Linked DNA regions of Oryzias latipes. The protein of the gene in region 3 purifies or fractionates together with the protein of the main gene of each other region. This does not show direct contact. Links are inferred from orthologs where the notes say so. Each region holds a gene or a part of one and is shown on either strand. Other genes may lie near its edges. The genes, in order: ajuba, sav1, lats2 and limd1.

Region 1 (7,745 bases), on a different chromosome or scaffold from region 3:
CTGTGGATCTGAGATAAACAGACTTCTATTTATATCCTGAGACCAATGTGGTTCATATATGGTAATAATGACTTCTTTATTTATCAAAAAAACCCAAAACAAACACTCCAGGGAAAGCTCCGCCATGGGAAACCGACAAAGGGGCTGAGAGAAGGAATTTCTCCATGTTTGAGAAGGAAAGAGAACGTGGGAAGCAGTTAAGGTGGTGACTGAAAATGACCAAAGACCGGGGATTAGGGCAGGAATGTTGTGCGCCTGCGGTTGCGCCGAATGTGTGTTGCAAAGTGTTTGCACTGCAACCTGACGCAGACCTCACCTGCTCCAGAATGAGGTGGCCACACACAGTACACTTCTCTGCAGCTGCCTGGAACCCTGAAAACTGTAATTAAACAGGGAGAATTACGGAGAGCGGCTGCCAAACGTATACGTCTGTGCCCAAACGCGCCTTGACCTCAGCTCTTACCATGTAATCCTCTTTACAGTACACAGAGCCGTTGACGTTGTAGAAGTCCTTGTTTCTCAGGGTGCGTCCTGCAGGAGGCCAGGAGAGGACGTTTTTGATGGTTACAAAAGGTATTTGGAAAAGGCGGGGCACCATTGGGCAAATACTTTAGAGCATCATCATTGTGTTTAGAGGGAGGGGGTACTGACCACAGGACACGCAGGTGAAGCAGCGGGTGTGATAGAGGTTCTCCTGAGCCTGGCAGGCGTTATCCGCCCCATACACACCTTTCCCACATTTAACACAGGTTCCTGTGGGGAGGAAAGGAAAGAAACAATGGAAACAAACATGCATTTAGCAGAGCCGTCGCTCAGCGTCTCGTCCTGCGCTTTGTTTACGACACATTCCTTAAGGATGTGCCTGAAATCCAACTCCACGCAAAGCGTCAACACTTGTAAATCCTCTCGTTCGCACCACCTAGGGGATTTTCACACAGTCAAAAAGAATCCTGCTACCCCAAGCCCGTCTGTTTGCTCCCCAACCCAGGTGTCTGCGGTTATAAAAGGGGAACTCCAGCGGTTCCGACTGTTGGCAGCCGTTTAAATGCAGCTCAAAGCCGTATTTAGAGCAATGAGGAGATTTGGAATGATAGCAGCGTTTCCTCTCATGAGCCACATTTTTTTTAAGCCGCCTTTCGACGTTTGCGTTTTCCTTCCAGTCAGCAAAGCCAAAAAGGTCCAACTGATTTTCAGGCAACTTGAGTGGAAAAAACTTTCCAGGTCAAAACGGATCAAAGAGTGCTGCTATCGTAAGAATTCTTGGGACGGTTTCCTCCCCTCCTGCTTGGTTCTACAGGCAGCATGTTGAATGTAAAGTAGCAAACTGCAGAGCGTCACACTGTCTGGGATCTATTTAAAGGGTGTAAGTGCTTTTTTTTTTGCCCCCCCCCAACTCTTTAAAATGTGGCCTGGAGACACATAAATCACAAATTCCTACACGATTAGCTTTCTGGGAAACAACTAAAACCTTAAATGCAATCCCTAAAATCCTGACAGATAATAAAAAATATTAATTAATGCCGTGAGCGGCGTTGTACAGCCCGCAGGCACTGCCCTCGCCGCCCCCCTTTTGACCCACCCTCACTGGCTGAGCGGCTGCTTCAGATGCTTCACTCTTCCCCTATGCCACCCTGGTCAGAGCTGCACGTGACAAAGTCATGAAAAAAGAACACTTTTTTTCAATATAGTGGCTTTTCTCTTAGTTTTAATACCATAGTAACCATTATATGTGTTGAATAGGTTTATGTCATTTTTAGAAAAATCTGCAAAAGGAAATTTTTTTAAATTTCCTTGACAATTGAGGTTTTTGTTAACCCCACCCCTATTCCTAATCCAGTAACATTGCTATTATTTCGCTCATCTTGGGCAAACGGTTAATGTATAAAACGTTGACAATATTCTGGTGAAAAATGTGCGAGTCACATTTGCTAGCTCGCCACACAAAGCGCCATTCAAAATCTACACCTTCTAATACTCGAGGAGTAAGGAGGCGATAAATCAAAATCCCCCTGAGGAGTTCACATTTGTAGAAGGTGCTAAAGATGCTGGCCTCTTCCTGAGGTCAAGGGTCAACGAAACTTTAGTTGTGGTTGTAGACTTAAGCTGGTGGCGTGTGTGTGATTTTTATGAAGATCACTTGAACTAAAGTTTTCAATACCCAGAATGGGTAAATCACCAAATTACAAACCGTAGGTCCTGTGGCCAAATTTGAAGTATTTTTTAAGCCCTGTGAGAGATTTTGGCACCTTCCTTTTTTTCAGGTTTTTGCTCGCTGTGGTGTCTTTTTTTTTTTAAATGGGGTTGGCCTTCCTGAGTTTGTGACGAGGATGACATTTTCGCTCAAACGCACAGGAAGGAGGGAGAATTGCAAAAACAATCTGGTCCTTGCAGTTCAAATACAAAATCTCACTGATTGACACCAACTCTTCCAAACTGGTTATGAAATCCCAACAAAACGGCGTATTTTTATTTTCGCTTTTGATAGAGGAATCCTTTTAGCGTCTGCCTTCACGCCTCACAGCTTCCGATTCTCCTCATGACTGAGAGGAGTACAGCATTGGGAGCGTCCCCTCTGGGCACACATACCTGAGCAGGAGAACAGGCTCCAGCACACCGCCCCTGCACACGCCAAGCCAGCCTTTCCACACACACACACACACACAAGCACGCCACCTCAGCGTGGCCTGGAGTCACGCCGACTGTCTCTCCGCCACACAAACACAAACAAAGCCAGAGCCCTAATCTAGTGGGACTCCAGAAGAGTCCAGAGGTGTGTTTATACACATAATTCCTGTTTGACAGCAGGGTTTTAATGACCACATGCATCGGCCGTCTATAGTAAGCTGGCCAGATGTGAGCCTGAAACGCACACACACCTGGAGAGTTGACTAAATGCGCTGACGCAGCATCTCGGTGTCTTCAGCCATCTGCTTGTCTGGATCAGCTTTTTGAAGCCTAAGCGTTTCTTTCTTTCTTTCATTCTGCTTGTTATGGCCTTACATGTCTCTGCAGGTTCCCCGGCATCAGCTATCCATCCATATGCTCTTTCAGCTATTAATCTGTCCATCCAAGCCCTTCATTTAAGGATCAAGCAGTGATCTGACACCAGCCAGTTAGGGAGACAATAATGACAGTTTGACTCTGCACTCCTGCATCAATCCAGAATGAAAACACGGCTACAATTTAGGCTCTGAAAGAAAACCAAAGAACATGAGTCTCACCAAAGAACTCCAGTCGGTTTTCGGCGTTCCCTCCCCCAGCTCCTGGCTCCTCCTGAGGTTTGATCTGACTGCCACATGGAGGGGTTGCTGTCGCTGGAACAGCGGTCCGGTGTTGATCTTTCAGCATCAGGACGTCTGGTATTCCGCCACCTTCCGACGCGGCGTCTCTCAGCAAAAGCCGAGTCAGCTCCTCCTGGTACCTGGTGCCTGGCAGGTCAGAATAGCGGGCCCTCTCTCTCATCACCCCTGCCTCTTTGGCCCTTATGCCAGCCTGCTGATCGTCCCACCACTCGCAACCGCCCTGGTAGCACGCTGCCGCCGGACTCCCCACCGCAGGCGGGTAGGAGTGACGACTGTCGTAAGCGACCGAGCACTGAGTCCAGGCCTCCACGGGGGTTCCTCCAGCCCGGCCGGGGGCTCCGTAACCAGCCGAGGAGCCTCCTGGGAGCATGGAGGGCTGCATTAGAGGGAGGCCTCCGGATGCGGAGTAGCGGGAGTCGTAACCTAAGCTTATGCCACTGGTTCTGTTGCTGCTGCAGCGGCTGCCCATAGGGCTGCCTCCTCCGCCTCCACTGGCTGTGCTGGAGGCGAAGCTGGACCTGGGACTGACCAGAACCGACTCCTGGAGGCTGAATGATGAACATGGACTCAGGGTTTGTCCCGGGGGGTAAAACGTGCTTCCTCCTACAACCCCTCCCATTATATCTGGTACTCGCTGTGGAGGATGAGAGAGGGATGCAGGCCTGTTGCTTTCCCACAATTCACTGCCTGTGCTCATGCGTTTGTAAAACAAGGCCTCCTGAAGCGAGAAGCGCTTGTGCCTCTCATGATCAGAGAGGTAGCTGGGCTCAGCTAGCCCACCTCTGGGGGCTGACCCATACCCCGAGGGGTTCTGGTACAAAGCGGGGACTGAGTGAGGAGGTGGCTGGGAGAGGAGCTGCTGTCGCTTCACCAGTTGCTGGAGCTCCAGGGAGTAACGCCGCTGATTGACGGAGGCCTTGGACCCAAACAGGCCTTGAGGGTCAGCATCAGGCCGGATTTGGTGGTCCATGCCCTCCATGTAACAGGAAGCTCGCTGATGGGAGGCGGGGCGCCTCAGAGGTGCAAGGGTGGTTGGGTGAAGTAGCTGCTCACCATCCGGAGGTACAGTGGAGGAAGGGGGTGGAGTGGTCAGATGCTGCGAGGGACCCATCGCCATCCCTCCTCCGCCTCCCCCACCTCCTCCACTTGCCGGAACGCTCGGATCATTTGTGGTCGCGGGGGCAAGTGGGAACTGGCCGGATCTTGAGGGCGAGGCAGTGGAACTGGGAGCGTTGCCGCCTCCACGTCCTCCGGAGTTAGCAACGTTTGCGTTGCTGTTATTGGAATTGTTGGCAGCGTCGTGCTTCTTTTTCGAACTGTTGAATTTGACACTGCCTGAATCGGTCAGCTTTAACTTCCCTAATAGCTTTGTTATTGGCTTTTCCATGGTGAACCCTTTGGTTATAACCAGGGGAAAAGTCTGGTCTTTCCTGCAGCTTCCTTTGTGCTCAAAAACTGTACAAGTACAAACAGCAGAACAAAGACAGTAAGCTGAAATGTTAAGTCCTAAAGGTAGAAAATGGCTTTAAAAAGTATCACAAAGTGTTGATAAAAACACTTTTCTAGACAGAATAAATATTGAAAAGATAAATAAAAGACGTTTTAAAGTAGGTCCTGTGAGTCATTTATGTGTAAAAACAGACAGATAGGATGGGATGAGCAACTCTCAGAGGAGTTTGAAAATCCTAAAACACATTAAATAGGTCGTACGGGGATTCCTTCATGGACCCTCAGGTGGCTCCTCGTCTGTTTCTTCTTCTTTTTCTTCTTTTATTAGTCTAAATTACTATTTTTTTTTAAAGTTGCTTGACATCCAGGGTGGAGTGGGGGTGTCTCACCGTTTGGGTTTTCTTTTGAAACCACAAAGCGGGGAGGTGAAGCAGGATGCAGACTATCAGCGCTTCATGAGGGTCCAGTGTGAGACGGCACAATAAATCCGCCTGAGCTCACAGACTTGACTCAGCCGACTCCTTCCATTCATCTCGGGACGAAATGAACTTAAATAAATAGGGTTACCGCTTTTAAGAAAGCCCAGGGAAACCACCAACGCCGCGCTGGCCAGACTCCTTCGTCGGTCCGTCCATCCGCTCGAGCTCGACTGCCTTTATCATTCCCGTCTACAAAGCAGGAGTCCTGACCGGCGGAATAGTAGCGGAAAAGTTTGGAAACACAAAAAGGAAGTGAAGGAAACGGCCGCACCGTTACATTTACATCCAAGCAGAGCAGCGCTGAGCTACAAAGAGTCCCACCGGATAATTAAAATCCCTCCCCGTGTGCTCTGCACGGTCGACAACTTTGTTTCTTTCTTTCTTCCCCCTAAATAATGATTTACCTCCCCCTCTTTTCAGCCACGTCAAGCTAGCTACAAGAGAAAATTACACTTCCTGGTGGAGCACTTCAAAATAGTCTGCCTTCAGGCATTGACTGTGTGTCAGAACATTCAACACAGTTTCTTAGAAGGATTATTTGGAGTTTAACTTTATTTAAATTTTATTTAAAAGGTTTTACTCGCCTTTTTTGAGAGCCTTTCTTTGCATTTTGCGACCACAATAGTGCTTTTAAAATTGTTCCATCAAATATGATTTGTTTTTGCTTTTATTTTGACGATAGTATCTCATATCCGGTCGTTCCTAAACACAGGCGAGGAGTTTTTTTTTTGTTATTTCTTTTTTCAGTCTGCAGTGGCTCATTCCCCCCAACAGACCGGAACACCTTTCCAACAACCATGTTTTTTTTTTCTTCTTGTCATTCATGCAAAACTCCCGCAGAAGATGCGATATCGGTCCAAGAAAATCACTTTTTATCCCAGTTCTGAGTGGAATTCTTTTAAAAGATAGTTAAACATAAAATACATTTAGATTTAAAGGTTTTTCTAAAAAATGTATTACCAGAAAAAATGTTATTTATAATTACCTTCGGTTTTAATTGGAAAAGAGGGTTACAAAAGCACCAATTTGACTAAAAAATACGAGATGTTAAAAATTTTAAAAATAATGAAGGCATCAAAAAGGAAAAAAGGCTTTCCAACAATAAAATTTATTCCAATAAACATTGTTACAGCAAAGAAATATCTCACCAAACATAGATTTCCTTTTTTAGTTTTACGCTTACTAGCCTATTACACATTATGATCTCAGTCTTTAACACCCCCCTTCATGCACTTTCTAATAATATGTTATGACGTAAATATGGATATAATTACAGTAAGCAGCCAGTACTGTATGTTTATTACTAAACATGGCTGTCAGTCAGGGACATTTCAGACACTTTTTGTTTATACTTTTGTAAATTGTGTGAAAAGTAACATAAGGAGCAAAATAGAGGGTGGCTTAATCTCATTCCCATAGGGTGTAATATATATATATATATATATATATATATATATATATATATATATATATATATATATATATATATATATATATATATATATATATATATATATAAAAACAGTCTGCATGACTGAGTGCTTGATTTTATACACATGTGGCCAGGCCAAGTGATAAGGACACCTGATTCTGATCATTTGGATGGGTGAGTAAATACTTCTAGTACTTGGTAACAAACAAACTACCCAAAAATGGGGAGTAATGGTTTCAATGTATCGGCTTTGTAGAGATACAAAAAATAAAAATGTTTCTCAGAAATTATCTAGACCTTAAAATGTTATTTTGAAACAAATTATATGAAAATAACTATCCTCTTGTTTACAATCATTTTGGCAGAAAATGGACTGTTTACTATATTGAGATAATGTCAACTTTTAGAATTAAAAATGTATGAAAGTTACTAAATAAAAGTAATAGCATTCACCAACCTGGTTTATAGTCCAGTTAATTATGGTATACAGTCTTAATGTATTCTGTAATACTTACAGTATTACAGAGCTATGTTTGCTCATGTTTTCAATAACTGATCATAATTCATTGCCTGAGTTTTTCTTCCTTTTTTGCATGGCAGATTAGTGCAGATCAACCATAGATGAGTCTGTTAATATTAAAAACAAGATATGCAAGATATGCATAGGTTGGGGGATGATTTTTCTGGGCCCTCAGGGCTCCAAAACAGACTTTTTTGGAGGTTACTGATTGTCAGAGTTGTATGGATAAATGTTTGTTGCCAATCAGCAGTCTTTGATGACGCAGTCATGACATGGCACAAACTTTAATTGTAAAGTGACCACCAAACCAAGCCAACAATTTGAACATTTCTTTGTTTTTCTGACTTTAACCATGCCCACATAGTGATTCATGCTTTCTTTGCAACATTTTCTGTAGTGAAGTTAGTGCCTCAAACCTCTGGTAAAGGAAACATTTCTGCTGACTTACTTCGTGAGGGAAAATCAGATTGCAACACCTTTCAAAATTAAATGTAATGTGATAATGAGGTTAATCATGTTTCTTTCTTCGTAGGTTTATTCAACATCAGGTGCATGTTTTAATA
Region 2 (7,670 bases), on a different chromosome or scaffold from region 3:
TTTTACTAAAAGTTGAATGAGCTGAAAAGGCTGAACTGCAGAATGACGGCGTTCGGATCGGAGCTGATTTTCAACCTGAAGGTTTTCTGAGCATCAAATGAGGCTTTTTAGGAGGAAAAAATGTCTGTTTACGCCTTAAAGCTACGCCATCATCCATGGTTATGGGGGGGTCTATATATTTATATATACATAATTCACTGTTGTTGTGAATTTAGGCTACACTAATAAAATGTAATTGTTTCACTTTTAATGTTTTGATATTAATGTAAACATTTATACTTGTGGTGTTTAAATGTTGAAATAAGCCCTGAAACCGGGGCGTTAGCAGACCTGGGGGCACACGGGTGTCGGTACTGCGCCCTCTTGTTGACGTGGTCCACATAGTAGACCCCGAACTCGGCGGACTCCACCTTCTCCCAGCCCGGGGGGAGCCCCTCCCTCTCCAGGGGGTGGCTCCAGTGGGTGGTGTTGGTGTTGTGGTCGATGAAGTACTTCCTGCCGCGGATGGTCCAGTCCACCGTCCAACCGGCTGGGAGGGGGAGGTCCTCCCCCGCCAGGCTGGACAGGTTCCCCAGAGACTTGGCCTGGATCTGGCTGATGCCTGAAGGAAACAGAGAAACATCGGGAAAACCGGGAGACTCCGGGGAAAACCGGAATGTTTTCTCTGTGTGGGAAAGAGGCGGCGGGTCTGCGGGACGAACGGAAGGAAGCGGGAGCGCCGAGGACAGGAAGCTCTCTGCTCCACCAGGGAGAGCTCCGTCAACACTTCCTGGAGCGCTCCCGGTGAAGGTCGGCGAGGAATGCGGGTCCGACAGCTGCAGGCGAGCGAGGGGAGGGGCTTCCCGCCTAAACGCCGGCTGGAGTTAGACACATTCTGCGGCAGAAGGAATGCGGTCTCCTCCTTCACCTCCTCATCGTCATTCCTGACCTTTTCCACAGAAAGATCCAGACGCCCCGCAGGAATTTGATACGAGAAGACGCCCGAAGGAGCAAATGTTTAAGAGTCACCGACATGGAAACGGGTTTCCCAAACGCAGACTAAAGTTCTACGACGAATGAAGACGTCCAGACGGGAAAAAAGATGAGAGTCTGAGTTTGATGTGGTGAAGGAACCACCAGGAACCGCTTTAACCACGGGTCAAACATCAGCATGTGCTCCGTGTGGTGACCTTTAACCTCCGGTGAGGGGGAGCAACACGAGGGGGAAGCAAACGGTCCAGAAAGCTTTGAATAAACACCAGGTTTTCCGCTTGAGACCTACTGCAGATCTATGACCTACAGATCTATGACGATTCAGCTGAGGATCATAGACCCGCAGAATCTAGATCAGTGGATCATAGACCCGCAGAATCTAGATCAGTGGATCATAGACCCGCAGAATCTAGATCAGTGGATCATAGACCCGCAGAATCTAGATCAGTGGATCATAGACCCACAGAATCTAGATCAGTGGATCATAGACCCACAGAATCTAGATCAGTGGATCATAGACCCACAGAATGTAGATCAGTGGATCATAGACCCACAGAATCTAGATCAGTGGATCATAGACCCACAGAATGTAGATCAGTGGATCATAGACCCACAGAATGTAGATCAGTGGATCATAGACCCACAGAATCTAGATCAGTGGATCATAGACCCACAGAATGTAGATCAGTGGATCATAGACCCACAGAATCTAGAACAGTGGATCATAGACCCGCAGAATCTAGATCAGTGGATCATAGACCCGCAGAATCTAGATCAGTGGAGCATAGACCCGCAGAATCTAGATCAGTGGATCATAGACCCACAGAATGTAGATCAGTGGATCATAGACCCACAGAATCTAGATCAGTGGATCATAGACCCACAGAATGTAGATCAGTGGATCATAGACACATAGAATCTAGATCAGTGGATCATAGAGCCACAGAATGTAGATCAGTGGATCATAGACCCGAATAATGTAGATCAGTGGATCATAGACCCACAGAATGTAGATCAGTGGATCAGCGGGTCTTCCAAAGAGAATAGATCTATAGATCAGACATCAATGGAACATAGATCAAGGGATTATAGATCTGTGGTACACACATTATAGAATCAGTGGATCGCAGATCTGTAAATTATAGATCAGCAGGTCTTCCTCGACAAAAAATCAAAGATCCGTTGATCTATTTTTTTTGTTATTTTTTATTTTGCTTACTGTTGTTCATTTTTGTTTCTCAGCGTTTTATGTGGCGCCGCAGTCTAGTCTGTAATGTCTGTCTGTTCACCGGCAATGACAATAAAAACCCCCTTCAATCATTGACCATAGATGTGTAATCATAGATCGGTGGATTATAGATCGGTAAATCATAGATCTGTAGAACATAGATTTGTGGATCATAGATCTGTAGAACATAGATATGTGGATCGTAGATCTGTGGATCATGGATTTGTGGATCATCCATCAGAGGATCTATGTCAGATCTATGATCGTTGACTCAAAGATGTTTTTAAAAGATGATCTCATCTTTTCAGGTAAAACCTGCAGTAGAAACCATCAGCTCTTCATTCTTATCTTCACATCTTGATTCTACAACACTTTTCAATCTATCCCAACACCGTTTACCTGAGGGGGGGCGGCTCGGGGCTGGGGGCGTGTGCTGGCGGGGATGTCTCATGAAGTTGTGTTCGCCGGGTTCAAAGTATCTGTAGTCGTCGGGAAAGCGCTCTGCCGCCCTTCGGGGTCGCTGCTGCTGCGGGCTGTCGTAATACGCCTCGGGGGGGTAATAAAAGCGGGCCGCGTCTCCGTTCTCCGACACGTGGCTCACGTCCGTGAGGAAGGACTGCGTGGAGCCCCGGTAATCATGGGGAAGGTCGCCCAGGCTGCGAGGCAGGTAGGGGGGCGCCGACATGCGGTGGCTCTCCCGGCGTGCCACCTCCTGCGGCGGCCTCTGCACGGGCGGGCGCAGGACGCTCTTGCTCTGGGACGCCACGGACTCCCGGCTGGATGCAACGGGGTAGGTGGAGGACCCCAACTCCGGCGGGGGGCCGTCGGTTCGTCTGGGGATGGTGGGTCCATGGCGAACGAACGAGGGCATAAGGTCTGCAGAGAAACACGACTTCAGCATCAAAGGAACCTGTTCCCACCAAAGATGAAACCCTGACAACCGTCCGTTTCCTCCTTTCTGGCGAACAATTGTCGAAATGACGGAAAGCGAGTTTGAGTTTATAACAGATTCATTTAATGAAACTGTTTCAGTTTCATGTAACCCTTGTGCTATCCTATGACCCCCCCTCTTCCATTGACGTGTTCTCCCTACCAGGACAAAGGTGGATAAAGGTGGAAAGATTTCATGTAATCCATGGACACCAGTGAAGATCACAAATCATTGAAGAAAAAAGGTTCAGCGCACTGTCTAGTGGGTCTAGATGACCCATCCCCCAATGGTAAAGTGCCTAGGATAGAACAAGGGTTAAGGTCATTTATTGCCTGTTTTCTGGCAGAGACAGCATTTCTGCTCATTTCAAATGTAAGAAGAACCAGAAAATGACTGATGTTTGGAAGGACAAAATCATCCAAATCTTGAAATTCTAAACCTAAAATGTTTCAAATATGCGACCAGAAAAGAAGGAATTTTCTAAAAATGCTTCAGAAGAATCAGCTGAACATGAAGATGTTAATATTTCTGCAGGACAGAACAGATGAATCTTTTGATGTTTGGTGTTATTGTTAAAAATTACTTTTGCAGATTCTTTTTTTTTTAAAATGATTTGTTTTAAAATGGCTAGACCCCCCCCCACCCCAAATTAAACTCACATCTGCATTTGATCAACGCTTGAACCAAATCAAAAGTTTAAATGTTCAAACCAGCGGTTTTACGTCATCAAAGCACATCTACGCCATCAAAGTACATTTAAGATCAAAGAAATGTCCTTTTGATGCGCCGCAACCGTCGGCTGCAGGTCGATGAGCGACATTTGAGATCAAAAACAACGAAAGATGCGCAGTCAGAACAAACAGAACTTTTTTCTGGCGGTTTTTCGCAGAATTGAGGTTCAGCCCGCAGGTAAGACGTCAAGTCCGTGTTTCTAACGTCACTCGGTGGCTCGTTGAGTTTCTGACGCGGGAATGAGAGCAAAGTTTGTTTAAAAAAATTTTTTTTTCCCCGTCTCCGTTCTACAGTGATGCGCTTTCAGATAGCGGCTAACTTGAGCTAACTTGTTGCGCGGCTTACTTCGGAGGAGCGGCGACGTTTCCTTCTTCACATACTTCCCGTGGACCTCGGCCGGTTTGGACGCTTCGTTTTTACTTTTCTTTCGCGAGAGCATCACTCAAAGCTCGAAGCCTCAAAACCGCGACGCTCTGAAGTCATCCTCCGACTCGGCGACCGTCCCGGTCGCTCATTTTTCCGCTCCGGTTAGCCAGCAGCTAGCTAGCCAAACTGGAGCCTCTGGGAGAAGGAGCGAGCTGCCGCGGCGGCGCCATCCCACCGCGGATCCTCCTTTCCCGGCTGCTGGCTGTCCAGTCCTCCCTACCGTTGATGCGCCCCCTGGCGGACGTTTCAGAGAAATACACCTCGGCTTTAATAGAACGTTACTGCAAATGTACGGATGACCCCGAGGGTCATAAAAAATCATTTAGAAACAAATAATTTCAAAAATTAAAAATAAAGAATAAGTACGGTAGAAAGTAAAAGATGTCACTCAAATACTACATCGAGTGATTTCTAAGTAGAATTTCAAATTTACAAACTACTTCTTTATTAAATAACCTAAAAACTTTACAGTTCTGCATCTTTTTTAATTCATTTTTTTTTAAATAATTAGATTAGATTTAATGAAGTTATTTCACTTTATTAAATGTAGTGGTGTGCCACTAAACATTTTTTTAAAAAGTACATATACTTCATTTTTTTAAATAAATTAAAAATTCTAGGTTTTCTATCTACGTCATAATTCTATTTAGTTTAGTTGATGTACATTATGATGGACATTTCCTCCAGTGTCATTTCATCTAGCTTGTGTCAAATCTGAATTTATAACATTGTCCCATAGTAAATGGTTTATTCCGGCTTCAACCAAATGAAGGCAATTCAGTCGCAACGTTGTCATATTACAGACGCCGCCATGTTGAAGCCAGACGTCAGTAAGCAGTGGTGGGTCTGAGTTTCTATGGCAACCACTCTCCTCAATCAGGATTATCAAAATGTTAAATAGGTATCAGACGCAGAACGGTTCTTCTGACCAACAGAAGCTGTTTTTCTACAGACATCTGTGGGAGTTTGGCTTCCTGGAGCCACTTCCTGTTTGGAAACGCTCATCCCGACACGTACAGTCAGGACCATAAATATTTGGGCAGAGACACATTTTTAACTTAGTTTCTGTACATTACCACAGTGAATTTTAAATAAAACAACTCAGATGTCATTGAAGTGCAGACTTTCAGCTTTTATTCCATGGGTTGAACAAAAGGATTATATAAATATGTGAAAAACTAAAGCATTTTTAAACACAATCCCTTCATTTCATGGACTCATCAGTAATTGGACAAATGAAATAACTGCAAACAAAATGTTCATTCCCAATATTTGGTTAAAAAGCCTTTGTTGGCAATGACAGCCTGAAGTCTTGAACTCATGGACATCAGCAGATGCTGGTTTTCTCCTTCTGAATGCTCTGCCAGGCCTTTACTGCAGCGGCAAACAGTTGCTGTTTGTTTGTGGGCCTTTCTGTCTGAAGTTTAGTCTTCAACAAGTGAAATGCTGCTCAGTTGGGTTCAGATCAGGTGACTGACTTGGCCATTCAAGAATATTCCACTTCTCTGCTTTAATAAACTCCTGAGTTGCTTTGGCTGGATGTTTTGGGTCGTTGGGCCATCCAATCAGTTTGGCTGCATTCACCTGGATCTGCGCAGACAGGGCTGCATTCACCTGGATCTGCGCAGACAGTTTGTCTCTGAACACCTCAGAATTCATTGGGCTGCTTCTGTCCTGTGTCACGTCATCAATAAACACTATTGTCCCAGTGCCACTAGCAGCCATGCACGCCCAGACCATCACACTGCCTCCACCGTGTTCTACTGATGATGTAGTGTTCTTTGGATCAGGAGCTTCTCCACGCCTTCTCCATTCTTTTCTCTTGCCATCATTCTGGTAGAGGTTGATTATGGTTTCATCTGTCCAAAGAATGTTTTTCCAGAACATTTTTAGATGCTTTTTAGCAAAGTCCAATCTAGCCTTCCTATTCTTGAGGCTTATGAGTGGCTTGCATCTTGCAGTGTTCCCTCTGGATCTACTTTCATGCAGTCTTCTTTCTATGGTAGACCTGGATATTGATCCGCCTCCCTCCTGGAGAGTGTTGTCCACTTGGTTGGCTGTTGTGAACGGGTTCCTCTTCACTATGGAAATGATTCTGCCATCATCCACCACTGTTGTCTTCCGTGGACGTCCAGGTCTTTGTGCGTTGCTCAGTTCACCAGCGCTTTCTTTCTTTCTCAGGATGTACCACACTGTTGATTTAGCCACTCCTAATACTGTAGCAGTTTCTGGTTTCATGTTTTTTTTCTGTTTTCTCAGCTTAATGATGGCTCCTTTCACCTGCATGGAGAGCTCCTTTGACCGCATGTCTGTTCACAGCTAAATCTTCCAAATGCAGCACGAGTCCTCTAATCAACTCCAGGCCTTTTATCTGCTTCACTTATGACATAAGGGAATTGTCCACACCTGCCCATGCAATAGCATGGTAGACAATTGTCCAATAACTAATGAGCCCATGAAATGAAGGGATTGTGTTTAAAAATGCTTTAGTTTTTCACATTTTTATATAATCTTTTTGTTCAACCCATGGAATAAAAGCTGAAAGTCTGCACTTCAATGGCATCTGAGTTGTTTTATTTAAAATTCACTGTGGTAATGTATAGAAACTAAGTTAGAAAGAATGTGTCTCTGTCCAAATATTTATGGTTCTGACTGTATGTGGATATTTATCCCGGTTGTTGTCAGGCTTGTTTTATTCATTCTATAAACCTTCTTGTTGAAACTTTAAATATTTTTGTTTCTGAAAGTGGATCTGAATTATGCAGAGAGAAACAAAAACAAACATCAGACACACTTCATTTACCCCCCCCCCCATATTCTGCTTTATTGAGACACTCAAACCGTCAGCCGCCTCACATTTTCCAAACATCATTTAATGTTTATTATTGCATCTCAGCAGCTTTTCAAGTGTTTGTGGTTAAATAAGTAAAGGAGCGTCTGCATGATGTCATAGAATAAAACGGCTAAAAACTGGTCGCGAGGATTCCTTCGTTTGGACAGATATTCTATTAAAATGACTTATTGCTCAGAATTATATTGTGGGATAAAACCTGACAGTCGTGGTCCGTGTTGGTGCATGGGGGGGGCGTCCCTCCAGTTAAAATGAGTCCATCAGGCAAACATCTGGACGGCTTTGACTCCTGGATCAGACACTCCTTCAGAGCGCCACCTCTTCAGGCCACGCCTCCAGGTCATTTGTAGGAGTAGGCCGGCGCCGGGTTCAAATCCCGGACGATCTTGTTCAGGCTGGAGATCTTCTCCTCCAGCAGGTAGTTCTTCTTCTCGGCGATCTTGTGCCGCTGCTCGGTGATCTCCAGCGCCTTCATCAGCTGAGCGTTCTCCACGTACAGGTCTTGGATCAGAACGTCTGCTTTGCCGTTT
Region 3 (7,795 bases):
AATGACTTTGTGGCTGGTGGTTATTATAACCAATTAAAATGACCCAAAAAGAAGAAGATATGTCCATCATTCTAAATTAACACCAACAGCCCTACACTCCATAGAGTGTTCAACCTGGGACCTTGGAGCTGAAAAAACTTTTAGAGATGCCCCTCCTACTCGCTGACAAGTCCAGTATAAAAATACGTTGAAATAAATAAGGGTTTTTCTTCTGTGGGGAGAACAGTTGGACAAAAACCCACATATGCAAGAAAAAGAAATACAAATTCTACCCAAGAAATACCCAGCCATGACCTCCCAACTGTGAGGACAGTCCGCGATGCAGCTTTCATGCTCACAAGGGATACAAATAAATAAATTAAATGCATCAAAATATTAAACAAATCTTTATATTTAAACTTAAATCAGTTAGCTCATGAACCAATTCATGTGAAACTTGGATTTCAGGCTAATGGATGACTAAGCAAACACATTTGTTCAACACTGTTCGAAGCCGTCATGGACATCTGTCGCCCTATGCCAAAGTAGATCATGAAAGTATCAATCAGATTAAATCTCAATGAGAAAGAGATTCAAAAATCTATTACAAAGAAATCTCACATTTATTGGATAGATTTTAATGATAAAATGACTTAAAAGCATTAAATGGTTGTCATGCAAATTTAATGAATTTAATGATGATTTAATTTAAAAGAACAAGAATTGGCTTTGCAATTTGTTTGTATTGTAACTTTTAATCAGAGAAGCAGCTTCAACTGATTTGCTGTTGTATTAAAAAGTACATATATTACAATCAGATTGTACTTCTACTCAACTTTGTGAAGCAAATATGCTATGAAGACATTCCTCAGAGCAAAAACACATTCAAACATGGCCTCACTGTTGTTGTAATGAGTCATATTGCCAAGAGTTACAACCCAACAGATGCAGCAAACCTGGGAAGCTCTTTGAATACACACCCACCCTCCGCCCCCCTGGCCGTCTCATCCCTTTAGGCAATTGTAAGGAAGATCTTCATTGTTAGTACAGATAAAATCGCCTTTCTCCTGCTTTCTCTCTCTCTGGTTTTTTTAAATGCATATCACTGGTGGAAGATTGTGGAGCCAGGCTCCAAAATGTTTCCTCATCTCCTGGATCTCTTTCCTCCATTCCTGTGATGCTTTTGGCACCACATCTGAGCGATGAGCATTCCATTCCACAAGTAACTACAAGTAAAATACCACAGTCCAATCATGGGACAGTCTGTGCTGACCAAAATAAACCGGCAAACACCGTGCATGTGTCCGATCTGAGTCGGGAGACATCTTAAAGACAACCGCTATTCCAAAATCAGTCTATAAGAAACCAGAGCTTCTGCATGTCTCCACAAACACTCATACTGTTGTGATTAACACTATACACATTCCAAACCCTTATCTCGGTTTTGTTTTTACTCTAAAATTACTCCACGTCGGTCAAGAGTCTGTCTGAAGGAATTGGCAGAAACATTTATTTTCCCAAGAGAAAATTACATCTCCCAGTGAAAAATGCAAAGAAATTTGGTTTGAGTTGGCAAAGTTCTATGGAGTTATTTATTATAGGCCTCCAGAGTAAATTTTAAGTTTATTGTCATTTTGACAGCCTGTGCAATACGTGAATCTCAAAAGATGGCGTAAATTGCAATAAATGATTACCTTAAATGTTCAGACACATAAAGAAAAAAACAATCTTATGGAAACTTGAAGTATTTAACAAATCAAATTGAGCCCTTTACGCATTTGACCAAACAGATGGAGCCTTTTTATGTTAGATCAGCGCCTCTAAAGTAGACCAGGGTTCTTTGGGGTATAATTTAAGTTATGTTGGCTTTTATTTAAGTAAACCTTTTTGAGTGAAACGGAAATGTTGAATTAGTTATGCTTTTTTTTGCTCTTTGTCCACATAAATCATATTGTCATTGCAATATTAATCACTGATATCACACGTGAGTTTTCTTCATATCGTGCAGCCCTAGTTTATTATCATTTATTCTATGAACTGCGTTCTAAAAGTAGACAAACTATGCTGCACTTTGAGTTGTCAGTATGGCAGAAAAAGTTAAACATTTCAAAATAAATGAGTATCAAAGAAAGTAGCTGTATTATAACCTTATTTAAAAAAAAAACACCAACCTTAAAAAGTGGGTATAAAGGCCCGTACACACCGGGACGAATATTCGCCAGGCGTTATTCGCCAGCGTTTTTCGCCACGTTTTTTGTGTTCACACCCAGGCGATTTTCGCTGACGATGAGTGGAGTGAACATGCAATTTCATTCCCTGACATTAGATGGCGCTTAATGTAAAACAGAAATACTCCTGTACACAAGGTGGCGCTGCGCAACTTTACGCTTCTTAAAGTCGCTTTTCACTCAGAAGAAGAGAGCAAGTATTTACACGCTTGTCAGAATCAAACAAAGAAAACATGAATATTTCAAGCACCAGTAGCTCCAAGTGGTGCTTGGTTCGGGGATATTTTAGAATGTCCGTCATTATTGCTTCGCGGCTGTGTGTAGACGCTACTTGGCGTCTATCTTCTTCGCTGGTATGTGTGCTCAGCAAGGCAGTTTTGTGTTTGAGCGCCCCCAAGTTGTGTTTTACTGTAACTTCAGAAGCTCCAGACACGTGAGCAAAAGCGCCATTCTCATTGGTCGAGTAGATTTCGACGCGATGCGTCGAAAAAAAAAAACGAACCCGAGGCGTTTTTTTTTTTTGACGCTTTAACGCCTGGCGTTTTTTCGCGTCGGTGTGCACACTCTCGTTGGTGCCCTTTGTTTAGTCACGAGGCGTTAAACGTCGGCGAAAATCGCCGGCGAAATTCGTCCCGGTGTGAACAGGCCTTTAGACAAAGACCAGTGTGTCTGCAGTTCCAACAATGACCACTAGGTGTTGACTTTCAGTTTTAGGATGAACAAAACAAAGTTTATCTCTGCAATTTTTAGCATGGTTTGAAATAAAATATGCACTGCACAAGTAAAATAAAAATTCAAAAGCAACAGATGACAAAACAAACCCAAAATCATAAATAAATGAGATTTCCCACAGCTGCAAATCTTGTCATATAACAGAAGTGCATCTTTGATGATTTCTCATTTGCAGAGGGCCGTCTAGTGATCGGCCTCCTACTTTAAACATAACATGCTTCTAAACAATCTCCAAACATCCACAAACCTTAAGCTATCCATTCAACCTCCTACTCCACCAAGCTTATTCTAAATAAAACAACTCAAATAGCCAAGCAAACCCTTCATTTGAGAGAAGTGGAGTCCTAAGCACTGCTGTACCACCACACATACTGTACCTGTTGCTGTGTCATCATTCAGGGTGTAACGATTAATCAACTTAATCAATTGCTATTCCTACGATCCAACCAAATTGATCAGTGTTAATTAAATTGACCTTTCCTATTAGAAAATCATTTGAAAATTACATTATTGATACTGGAAAATACTATTTGGATTGAGACATGGTAGGTTTGTTTTACTAAAGCAAACAACACGCGTGTGATGCAACAAAAACTGATCAGTCCATCATTCCAGTCCAATGGGTTGAAATTTAGCAAAGAAATGTGACCATACAGTGTGGTAGATTTTCTACTAATGTTCCCTTTGGATTATTTTTGATGTGGAAAAACAACAGTAGGCTGAACTTCAGGAAACTAAAATGTGAATGGATTTACCATTCATTCTTGTTTACTTTTACACATACAACTACGAATTATATCGTCAATCACCAGCTTGGATATGAATCAAATCTTTATATCTCTAGTCTTCACACATCTGGACACATTTAATTTATTTTATTAAAGTGGGATGTCACCTGGAGTAGGTCTACTGACATGTGGGGTTTGTATGTTTTCCCACTAATTTATACAGAAAGTGCATAGAATTAACCATAACAGCTGTTGACCAAGTTTTGTCACACAACACTCAATTAGTGTTTTAAATCAGTGCGGGGAGGGGGGTCACTTCCAAGCAGTTTTCAGTGAACTAAAAGGGGGATTTTTGATCCATAGAAATGTCAGTTAATAACCGTGTGTGGCCTGGATATATATTCCTGATCTCATCAAACCGTTATCCGTGTTGTTTGTCTGAAAGGTGTGTACACACGCGGAAGCCAGCGTTTTAACGCTCTGTGGCCTCCCCCGCTGAACCCCGGGCAGGGCTGGGGGCTGAGAGCAACGCATTCCTGTGAAGGAAAAGGGAAAAAAATGGAGGCATTCCCGTAAAAACCACAGAGCCGCTTCAAACCGAGAAACGATTCCGTTTCTGTTAGCCCGTAACGGTAACATATATGTGCGTTATTATGGGGCATTCCCCCCCTCCCACTTTTCAGCAACAAGTTGTAGAAACAACTTAACTAGCATTCCCTATCCCTTAACGAGTAACCCAACTTACCATGTGTGATGAGAGAAGTGCCAAGACAAGAAGAATCCCAAAGAATAGAGAGTCAGTTCCTTACAAGAAGTAGCGGGAAAAAGTTGCTCGTTTAGCTGCTGGACGCGGAGACTGAAGGCACGCGCTCAGCGAAGACACGGCGACGGGCTGGGAAGGATAAAACGAGCCTCCATTTTCTCCCCAGACTCAAAGAAGGATCCGAAATGCAGCACAAAGTTGGACACTCGCTGCATTGTTAACATTCCTCAGGTCACGTGACGGACCAACGCACGTCAGCACTCACACAGAGATCGTCTATTACGACCACGACTCACCCTGCAGCAGATTCCAGTTTTTGTGTAGTTGAAATCAACTTTGCACAAGTATATCATTTAAAAACTTAAAAGTTAGTTAAAAAAATCACATTTAGAACTACAAAGAAAGGTTACAGTAAGTTGCTTTAGTCCAGTAACGTTTTCTGTATAATTTATTCAAGGATGCATTGTAAGCAACATTGACGTCAGTCTGTTAAAAGATTTCTACCAAGAAAGTTTATTTTTTTTAATTAGGTTAATTAGGTTTAACAAACTTAATGGATAAATATAGATTTTTTTCTAATGCCAGAACCAAAGGGAAAAGTTGTTTACAAACATTTTGAAACTAGATCTAGGTCAACTGTTTTGGCCAACATATTTTAACACTGCATCTATAGATTACTATTCTTGACACTTTGTGAATACTTCAGTAACTAACACTTTTTACTTATACTTGACTAAACAATCATTTTTGCTTCTACCTGAGTATAAACTTTTTTGTAATCCCATTTTTCTAATATTCTACTCACCTCTCAAACTAAGCGCTGTTTCTTTGGCAGACATTACCAAAAAAACAATGGCGTTATTACAAACAATGTTTGTTTTTAGCATTAAAGGAAGAATATTCACCCAAATAGTTATAATATTTTAGAACCAAACAAAACATCAATAAACAAGAAAATTATTTTAAAATTATTTTTGCCACAGTTTTTCAAAATATTATCTTTCCATTGGATGAAAATTGATCAATTCAATCTTGGAAAAAAAAACACTGACTGCAATTATTTAGGTAAGGATTTTTAATTATGTGATTTTACCGCTTGTAGTTTGTTTTAAATTGGATTTTTTTTCCTAAACTTTTGTGACTTTTGCGTACATTGTTGCGAAGTTGTGCAAAACCAAAAAAACGTGTGTGAATAACAGCAGCTGACTACTCAAACTGATGATTTTTTCATACAAAATGAAAGTATTTTCAGATTGCAAGAATTTTAAATCATAAAGTCAGTAGTTTTGTTTTTGATTCAAAATTTCCCAGAATTCCAGATCTGCATGTTAACGAGTTGAAGTAAATTTTTTTAGGAGTGAAGCATCTGTCTTCTTTCCTCACTGACCGCACCACATACTTCAAGGTGGAGCCTTCTGAGCATTTTTCTCCCTTTCATAAATGAAAATATAGCAGTACATTACATTACTGTCACTCCTCCACCACTTCAGCAGAAATCTTGAGCGTTGAACAAATAAATCAAAGCAAAAACAAACTATAATCAAGGATGACACATTACTAACGTGGACAAGTTATCCAAGAATTGAGAAATGAGTGAGGGTAATGGGGTTTCTACCCCAAACGTTTAGTGTTTTTTCAGCCTAGAAAACAAAATACAATGAACAATACTTTATAATTTTATGTCTGAAGGCAACTTTTTTTGAACAGTTGAAACAGTGTCTGTTGTGCTATCCTAGGCACTTTAACATTGGGAGTTGGGTCATCTAGACCCACTAGACAGTGCTCTGAACCTTTTTTTCTTCAATGATTTGTGATCTTCACTGGTGTCCATGGATTTCATGAAATCTTTCCACCTTTATCCATCTTTGTCATGGTAGGGAGAACACGACAATGTAAGGGTGAGGTCATCTAAGATAGCACAAGGGTTAAGAAGAAACAAAATGAGAAACTAAAAACATAAAGGTTTTCTTCTCCATATGTCATTTGTTGTATCTGAGATGACTCAAACAGGAACAGCTACAAAGATTCATGCAATTATATACAAGCTTAAGAAGCAAAAGCATCACTGTGGAAATCAATTCACTACAGTTCTGCTGATGAAGTGTACTGTATGTGCTTTTTCCCCATCAGCAGACACATAGGCTGAAGGGAATGACGACTAAAGAAAAAACAATTGGAGAATGCAAATGATCTGTGATAACAAGCAGAAACTTCTGCAACCGTCTGTGCCTGAGATCAGAAGATACCAGTGGAAAACAACAATGAGCTACACAACCACGTTGAAAGAATGATTCTTTGGAGCAAACCAAATGCTTGCAAGGTTCAATAATGAAGGCGTTTAAAAGATAAATCAAAGGCTCATTTGGAAGACTTTATTAACAGAGGCAATTATCACAAAATAGGCTTCTGGTATTAGCAAACACAGTAGCTTTAGACATTTAGATAAGGCTTTTAGAGCCGCTTCATTTGCAGATATTCCGGGTACTACTGAATTTGCTCAATAACTTAGTCTGGTGTGAACAAGCTACCGTAGTTAGAGATAAAGGTTCTTTGCTTATTCTGTGCAAACCTTTTTCTGAAGAAAATTACAAAACAGAGTAGGACATTTATAAATTCAAAATCTGTATTTGAAGCAGAAGAATGGTGTGCTCATGTTACACTGATCATTCCACCAGAAGACTTTGTTAAATCTACCTGGCTTGGATGGAAAGGATTGAGCCAAGAAAGGCAGACGGGTTATTGTAACACTTATCGTCATGCTGCTGCTTGCGTTTACAAGCAGAGAAGAAACAACAGTAATGCAGTCGTAATCAGGGACTAGAAAAAGACTCTGCAAATGAAAGTTTGCTTTCCTCGCATGAGAAAAAAAACTCTAAAAACTGCATAAAACCCAATGAAACAATAAGTGATTGTTAAGGTCGTCTGGGTTTTCTTCACATAAGTCACTCCAATGGCGCAGCAGAGATGCAGAGGTTGTTCAAGGCACAGGCAACTTGCTCAATCTTGTCCAAAGTTGAGATGTTGGAGGAGCACTCTGTTACTGCAGTGACAGGACTCTCTATGGGGCCCGACAGCATGCTGTAGCGCTGCTTCACCACGGAGACGACCCTGTCCACATGCTGCTGCACACTCTCTGAAACATCAGCCCCCTCTGCACACACGCCAGCAATTTTGAACTGGGCTCCCCGGGCTGCAACAGACTCCCTGATGTCCAGATCATGGGTTGCCAGAAAGATAGCCTTCAGCCAAGCTCCTGTCGCTGATGTTTCCCAGCAATCCCCTGGAGACGAAGGTGACCACGCCTTGAGGAGCCACACCGACCAGATACTTTAACACACTTCCACCTGGCTCCACCGTCTGAGGAC
Region 4 (7,529 bases), on a different chromosome or scaffold from region 3:
AATGCACACACGTATTTGCAAACTTCAATTCTGATCTGAGAATTGTACAAAAGCGACTGAGAAAAACTGTAACTCCCACCTAAGATCTTCAATGGAGTTGAGATCTGGAGACTAGCTAGTCCACTCCAGGACCTTGAAATGCGTCTTATGAAACTACCCTTTCATTACCCGGGCAGTGAGTTTGGGATCGTTGTCATGCTGAAACCACGGTTTTCACTCAAGATCTGACAAAACATGGCCCCATTCATTCTTTCCTTTACACTTTATATCAGTCGTTCTGGTCCCTTTGCTGAAAAACAGCCCCAAACCATGATGTTTCCACCCCCGTGCTTTACAGAGAACATGGTGTTCTTTGGATGAAATGCAGCTTTCTTTCTCCTCCAAACACGAGGAGAGTTCTTACCAAAAAGTTCTATTTTGGTTTCATCTGACCATAGGACATTCTCCCAATCCTCTTCTGGATCATCCAAATGCTCTCTAGCAAACTTTAGATGGTCCTGAAGATGTACTTTGTTACTGATGGTAGCCTTTGTTACTTTGGTCCCAGCTCTCTGCAGGTCATTCACTAGATCCCCCATGTGGTTCTGGGATGTTTGCTCACCGTTCTTTTGTTTATTTTGACTCCATCGGGGTGAAATCTTGCGGGGAGCCCCAGATGGAGGGAGATTATCAGTGGTCTTGTTTGTCTTCCATTTCCTAATCATTGGTCCAACAGTTAATTTCTTCACAGCAAGCTGCTTACCTATTGCAGATACTGTTTTCAAAGCCTGGTGCAGGTCAACAATTGTGTTTCTGGTGTCCTTAGACAGCTCTTTGGTCTTGGACATAGTGGAGTTTGGAGTGTGACTGTTTGAGGTTGTGGACAGGTGTCTTTTATATACCCGTATTTTCCGGACTATAAGTCGCTCCGGAGTATAAGTCGCACCAGCCCAAAATGCATTATAAAGTAGAAAAAAAGCACAGATAAGTCGCACTGGACTATAAGTCGCATTTTGACGGGAAATTTATTTGACAAAATCTGGGACCAAGAACTAATAACTTTCATAACCTCATATGACACAATCATAGCAGACTGTTTATCTCATAATTTCACAGTAATTATTTCTCAAACTTATTTATTTATTCCTTTCATGAAGCATCATTGGCCAACTAATACTCTGTTTTCATCCTGTATTTGTAGAAACAGTTGTCGTTTTTATTGCATTTCTGAATCTATGAAATCATTGGAAAATAGAATATTATGTTTTTAGCCTTCAAGATCTTACTGTAAAAAAAAGTTTGCTGATTCTCTGAGTCACTTAACATACTCCTAACACTTAACATACCTCATACATCAAATTGACCCAGGAACATCATCTCTGTTCCTCACAAATGAACATAACAGGAGGGTTAACAATGTATTTATTTCAATTTATTTCTAATATAAGTCGCTGCGGAGTATAAGTCGCACCCCTTGCCAAACTATGAAAAAAAGGGCGACTTATAGTCTGGAAAATACGGTAGATAACCAGTTCAAACAGGTGCCATTAATACAGGTAACCAGTGGAGGACAGAAGATCATATTACAGAAGAAGTTACAGGTCTGTGAGAGCCAGAAATATTGCTTGTTTGTAGATGATCAAATACTTATTTTTCAAATAAATTCTATAAAATCAGACAATGTGATTTTCTGGATTACATTCCTCATTTTGTCTCTCATAGTTAAGGTCTACCTATGATGAAAATGACAGGCCTCTCTCATCTTTTCAAGTGAGAGAATTGCGCAAATGGTGGCTGACTAAATACTTTTTTGCCCCACTGTATGTCAGTTTATTCCTCCTACTGGCACAAAATCAATTTTTGAATTTTTGCATGTACTTAACAGAGCTTCATTACCAAGTATGTATTGCATAGTCAAAAGTTCTACTGAAGAACCGCATACCATGATCCTTCCCCGCCAAAAGTCACATTTTGCATGGAGCAGTCAGGTGACTCATTTTCCCCCCGGCTTCAATTCATTTGAGTTTTTTAGTGATGTGAGGCTTATTAGTAAACCGTGTAAAATAAGAACACCAATAAAAATCAAAAAATAAATAAAGTTAGTTAGATTTTGTTTGTTTTTTTGAAAGGTGACAAAAAGTTCCTGAACAAACGTGAAGTAAAGGTTCCATCATTACAGATTGGTATTAAAATCCCAGTTTTAATAAAAATAAAATGGATAAATTCAAAGCAGCTGATGTTTATTGAAACACTTTCTTTGCAATAATAATACAGCATTAGCTTTACATTTTCTAATAAACAGAGAAATGGCCTTCACAAATGAGTGAAGCTTAAATAATGAACTGAAGACTCGAGTAATTAAAGGTTTGGCGGGAAAAACATCTCACACTGCAACCATGGTTAGCATTTGATCAAAGTTCCCTAAATCCGCTCTGTACTTGCATCTATACTTTAAAAATATTTACCTGCAAACCCACAAATATATATATATTTAAAACTATTTAATAGATGGCCCTGAATATATGTGCATAGGAAAGTCCATTACTTCAGTCTAAGTGCTTTTATCAGCGTGTGTGAGTTTATCCTTTCACCACTCAGCACTGCAATCTGTCCGTCTGAAAACCTGTTGTGTTGTGACCGGTACTTTTTACGGTTCAGATCCAACGGCCAGCAGATTGATCTCAGCCTGAACCGTTAGGCTCCAGAGGTTCATGTCAGTAACGTGCGAGTTAACGCCTCGGAAAGGAGGATGACTGTGTCTCCAGCTGAACGTGAAGAATCGCTGTTGAAGTGCAAATACGAAAGAGAAGGCACTCCGTTTACAAACACAAGAGAAAAACTTCATAGGATAATCATATGCATTCAACTTTGGTTAATCACAATACTTTATATCTGAGTCATAGCCGGTCTTCAGAGTTCATTCCTGAAGGGTGTGATGCCGTAATCAATCCTTTACAACAAGAATTGAACAGGCGCCATGTTTGACAGTTCCTCCTTGCGACCAGCAGTCGTCTCCCTGCGGCTGCAGCTAGAAGGAGGAGGCAGCAGCAGCAGCAGGAGGAGCGGGGACGCCTGTCTGGATGTGCTTCAAGTGGCAGGAGTGGCAGAGGAGATGGCCATTCAGAGGGTAGCAGCGGTGACCCTCTTCGTCGTTTAGCTCCATCTTGCAGTCCTGAACGTGAAGAAGCAAAGATGAGAGAGAGCGACTGCTGACTCATTCAGACGGGAAGGAGACTCACTCATCTGCTGGTTGGTCAGCAGTTTGTTTGGTTTTTTGTGTTGCTGAGACAGAAGCACAGGACTGAAACAACAGGTCAGTTTGTCTCAGCAGTTAAGCTGCCAATCAACATTTGACAAAGACAAATAAATAAATAAATGAGCAGTTTTATAGCCGCTTCACTCAGCTCTGCATAATTATCAAGGCTGTAATTAAGATCAGGGATCTGCTCATTAGAACTTCCCTTAATGAGAACACACACACACACACACACAGCTCGATTTGAACTTTTGCATGTAGGACTTAGTGCATCGTTGCTCACCTCGCAGTGATAGCATTCCACATGGTAGTCCTTCTCCATGGAAACCACGCGGATGGTTTCGTCAGACCCCTGCAAAGGAAAGCAGACGGTGAGTTGTCCTGAAAAACACACACAGAAGCCTCAGGGTGTGAGCTGCTTTGAAAGCAGATCCACGGATAAGATCCACAGATGTCAGCTCCTACGATTCGTATTTAAAGGAATCCTGTTTAACTCAAGTGAGTACAGCATTGCCCTTTTTATTCGCGGGGTTCAGGGAGCAGAGACACCCGTGAATACGTAGAATCTGCGATTACGGAGAACCACCTCCACCCCCGCAGCCGGAGAACGTCCGTCACTGATCCCTACTCATCAAAAACCCTTCTGAAACATTTTTGATGCTTTGTAAAACATTTATTAAAAAACATTGCTCAGCATCCAGTTTTTTTTAAATATATATTCAGGGCAATAGACTGTTTTGTAGCGTACTTTATAACACACATTAGGAGTGTCTCTCTGTGCCTTAAAACCTGGAACCCGTGCCTCATCCTTCATCAGTTACGTGCCAAAGGTCCTGCAGCGTGTTTGAGGGTCACTTCTTCCAGAGGAGGCTGGTTTCATCCATCACTCATTCATCCGGATGATATTTATTCTCCGCCATCATCTTCCTCAGCGTTTCAGGACTTTTTGTCCGTCTGCTTCTGACTCAGCTGATGCCGTTTCTCCATGCAGGGGCACAAACTTTGGTTACAGCGATTCAGGAACCGGTGGAACCAGCTGTAAAATATTCTTTAGCAGCCGGCAAGGAAGCCGACAGGCCGGTGTTGTAAAGAGGCTGGATCAGCAGCCAGACAGAATCTGTGCCCCTTTTCAAATACGACAATGAACTCCCACAAGCCCCAGTTGAAATCATAAACATCCACCGTTTTTTTAATTATTTTTTTTTACCTTTTTTGGAGCCAAATATGAGTGCTATGAAAGAATAGTTCACTCTGCCCAAAATTCATTATTTTAACTCGGTATGTGCAAATTTGGGTGAGTTTGGAGTATGTGGCGAGGGTGAAATGAACGCTCTGAAGCACAGGTATTAAGAAGTATTGCAAAAAAAAAGCTGGGAATAATACCAACAAACAGTAAAACAACACATTTTACTCCCATTTCTCTGTTTTTTGGATTTGAAATGTAAATAAGAACAGAAGTAAAGAAAAGCATACCTCTGAAGGTAAAATAGGCTGGTTGCAGGCAGCACATTTAGGGGCAAGGACCCTAAAAAAAACACAAAGTAAGTTGTCTGGATTAAAATAAAGGCTTTCTAGTTCCTTCATACATACGATCATACATGCGCTGAGGAAAAAGGAACCATAAACAAAAGTCTGAGTTTCTAAGCACATGGCAGGCACCTTGATGTCTGGGAAGAATTACATTGTGCAGAGCACCAGTCAAATCCAGACTATGCACAGTGAGCTTTGTCTGATTGAATCGGAACATGCGGGGGCCTGCCAGGCAGTGAGAGGAGAGCAAGTACATGTCGACCCAGCTGAGGCAGCAGCAGCAGCAGCTGCAGCAGAGAGGAAATCAATCCGGTGTCAGCAGTTCCTGTGAGCGGCTCATGAACCAAACCACACAGAACCAGAGAGATGTTTGCTCCTGCAGGCAGACACGTGCCTCCTCACACCTCCAACTAGACCCCCCTCCCCTCCCAGCACTTCCACGACAAAATAAACCTCTTGTGTGTCCGCTGCACGTGGCAGACCGACACTCAGCCGTGGAGGGTTACCGGTGGTAGTCTCTGACGCAGTAGATCTTGTTCTCGGTGTCCACGGTGAAGGGCACCCCATCCAGGCTCTCATTACAGATGACACAGCGGAAGCAACCGGGGTGGTAGGACTTCCCAAGAGCCTGCAGGATCTACGAAGATGGGAAATAATCTGTTAATCTGGGTTAGCCAACAAATAGAAAACAACAACAAACGTTATTGTCTGATCTTTTGACTTGATTTTGTAATCCCACCTGGATTTTAGGAGCACGAGACGTGTTTTCTACAATATGGTACTGCACTCATGGGGAAACAATTATAAAACATCATTACATTCACTGTTAATTCTTCAAAAGAGGGCGATACGAATCATACATAACGTGGGTTATCTGGATCATACACATGCATTATTCTTACAATCAAAATTATTGAAACTTAAAGATCTGGTGGAGCTGCGCACAGCATTACTCATGTTCAAAGCCACATACAGCTTACTACCAGCAAATATACAAAAATTATTCATGAAAAGAGAGGGAGAGTACAGTTTGGGAAGAAAACAAAATTTTTACATACACAAAGCACGCACAAATAGAAGATGTTTCAGTGTTTCTATTTGTGGAGCAAAACTGTGGAACAGTAGAGAAGATGAAATAAAGCAATGTCCCAACATAAAACTCTTTAAAATAAGATATAAAAATATGATTTTAAAACGATATTCAAATATATCGGATGGATATTAGATGTATATATGTATGTAAGTATACATATGTAAAAATATATATGTGTATATTATTCTTATCTTAATATGCGCATAGTATTCTTCAATAATAATTCATGCTAAGTATTTAGGACAGTACTCTGTGAAAATTATTATACCTTATGAAACATTGTGTATAAATAAAGAAGCTGCTTACTAATGTAATTAATATTGATGAGGAATAGGGGGTGAGTTTATATAAGTTTATACTTTTTCTCACTCCTTTTCGAATATGTATAATTGTTTAATTGTTTGTAGTATTTGTGTTCATATATGGAAGAAAAAAGAAAAAGAAAAAAATTCTGTTTGTGTTTATAACGGTTCTTGAGCGTGAACGTTTTCTTTATATTCTCTTTTTTTATTTATGTCTGTTCTTTCTTTTTGTTTTGTTTTGTTTTTTTTAACATATATTCGAAATAAACTTGTTTCCATTCCATTCCACTTATAACACCTCATCACACGTGAGTAATGAGGAACCAGACCTCAATCTCTGAGTTTGCAGAAAGCTTAGTGTGGCTACAGCCATTCCAAGCGTCTACTGAGATCCTCTGGAGCTCCATCAGCACGTACCATATCCATGATGAGATGTCCGCATGCGTTGCACTTGTCAGCTGATTGCTGGAAACCAGAGTACTAAACAGAAAAGGGGTCATATGTGCAGAATTAGCACCTTTCAGGGTTTGTACACTTTTTTTAAGCAATGCTTTTTACATAATCTTTTACTGAATTTCCAAAATAAACACATTTGCAGGTGATGTCGCTAAATCAAACCAAGACACACATTGATGCATCCAAGTTTGTCTGCCGGAACCAAACAGTTAAAATGCAGCGGCCGCATCAACGTCAGTTTCTGTTGGTGTGGAGGAAACGGCAGTGACGTCTGGAAGCGGACCGCATTCAATAAACTAAAACAAAATACTAACAAAAAAACACAGATGATCTTTGTTTGTAATTTTTTTTCGTGGTTTTTGTTCTAATTTTTGTAGGAACTTACTGATTCTTGAGAGTCGGGACAAAAGAACTTCAGAAAAACGAAATTTGTTCTATCTTCTCTTCCAAAAATGTTTCATTTTCATGATATTTATTGTTTAATACATTTTTTAACCCTCATCTTTAATTTGATATAAATGTTAAGGACTTAATATTTTTCAATGCTGGTGACTTTTGTGACCTCATGCTGAAGACAAGAGAAATACCAGAGGACGCCTCATCACTACTCATACATTTCAGCAAAAGAGTCTTTAAAAAAATAATTTTCTATGCTAAAACATAACACCAGTATTCACAATTCCTTTACATCTAACATGTAGAGTAAGTCAATCCATTTTAAATTCATGATTTTTATCCATAAAAAGACCTTTTCATGTGGGACATGTTTTGTCCCGACTCTCATAAACCAGTGAAATACCAAATGACTAACCTCATCCGCTCATGAAAACTAGAAGATCATCTGCAAATTAAAGTAGAAAAGTCACAATGGTTGTGTCCGAATTCCTTCCCAACTTACTACTTGGTGCGTTTG

Evidence for each region.
Region 1: the proteins of lats2 (region 3) and ajuba purify together in Homo sapiens (affinity purification with western blotting; 3 studies listed by BioGRID and IntAct, with this or other methods). This does not show direct contact. The link is inferred for Oryzias latipes from reciprocal best matches to the Homo sapiens genes LATS2 and AJUBA.
Region 2: the proteins of lats2 (region 3) and sav1 purify together in Homo sapiens (affinity purification with western blotting; 4 studies listed by BioGRID, with this or other methods). This does not show direct contact. The link is inferred for Oryzias latipes from reciprocal best matches to the Homo sapiens genes LATS2 and SAV1.
Region 4: the proteins of lats2 (region 3) and limd1 purify together in Homo sapiens (affinity purification with mass spectrometry; 3 studies listed by BioGRID and IntAct, with this or other methods). This does not show direct contact. The link is inferred for Oryzias latipes from reciprocal best matches to the Homo sapiens genes LATS2 and LIMD1.

What each region holds. Positions count from the first base shown.
Region 1 is NC_019876.2:18,017,161-18,024,905, reverse strand, and holds the start of ajuba (LIM domain-containing protein ajuba), read right to left. Parts: upstream 4,690-7,745; coding exon 3,222-4,689; intron 754-3,221; coding exon 652-753; intron 532-651; coding exon 464-531; intron 380-463; coding exon 317-379; intron 1-316.
Region 2 is NC_019880.2:1,303,522-1,311,191, reverse strand, and holds the start of sav1 (protein salvador homolog 1), read right to left. Parts: upstream 4,551-7,670; 5' UTR 4,303-4,550; coding exon 4,209-4,302; intron 3,077-4,208; coding exon 2,600-3,076; intron 602-2,599; coding exon 331-601; intron 1-330. Other genes in the region: nin (ninein), read right to left, coding at 7,481-7,670. UniProt on the Homo sapiens protein: Regulator of STK3/MST2 and STK4/MST1 in the Hippo signaling pathway which plays a pivotal role in organ size control and tumor suppression by restricting proliferation and promoting apoptosis.
Region 3 is NC_019879.2:11,538,798-11,546,592, forward strand, and holds the start of lats2 (serine/threonine-protein kinase LATS2), read right to left. Parts: upstream 4,664-7,795; 5' UTR 4,413-4,663; intron 4,204-4,412; 5' UTR 4,125-4,203; intron 1-4,124. UniProt on the Homo sapiens protein: Negative regulator of YAP1 in the Hippo signaling pathway that plays a pivotal role in organ size control and tumor suppression by restricting proliferation and promoting apoptosis.
Region 4 is NC_019874.2:10,095,783-10,103,311, reverse strand, and holds the end of limd1 (LIM domain-containing protein 1), read right to left. Parts: intron 6,641-7,529; coding exon 6,578-6,640; intron 5,403-6,577; coding exon 5,272-5,402; intron 4,761-5,271; coding exon 4,709-4,760; intron 3,588-4,708; coding exon 3,519-3,587; intron 3,152-3,518; coding exon 3,008-3,151; 3' UTR 2,160-3,007; downstream 1-2,159. UniProt on the Homo sapiens protein: Adapter or scaffold protein which participates in the assembly of numerous protein complexes and is involved in several cellular processes such as cell fate determination, cytoskeletal organization, repression of gene transcription, cell-cell adhesion, cell differentiation, proliferation and migration.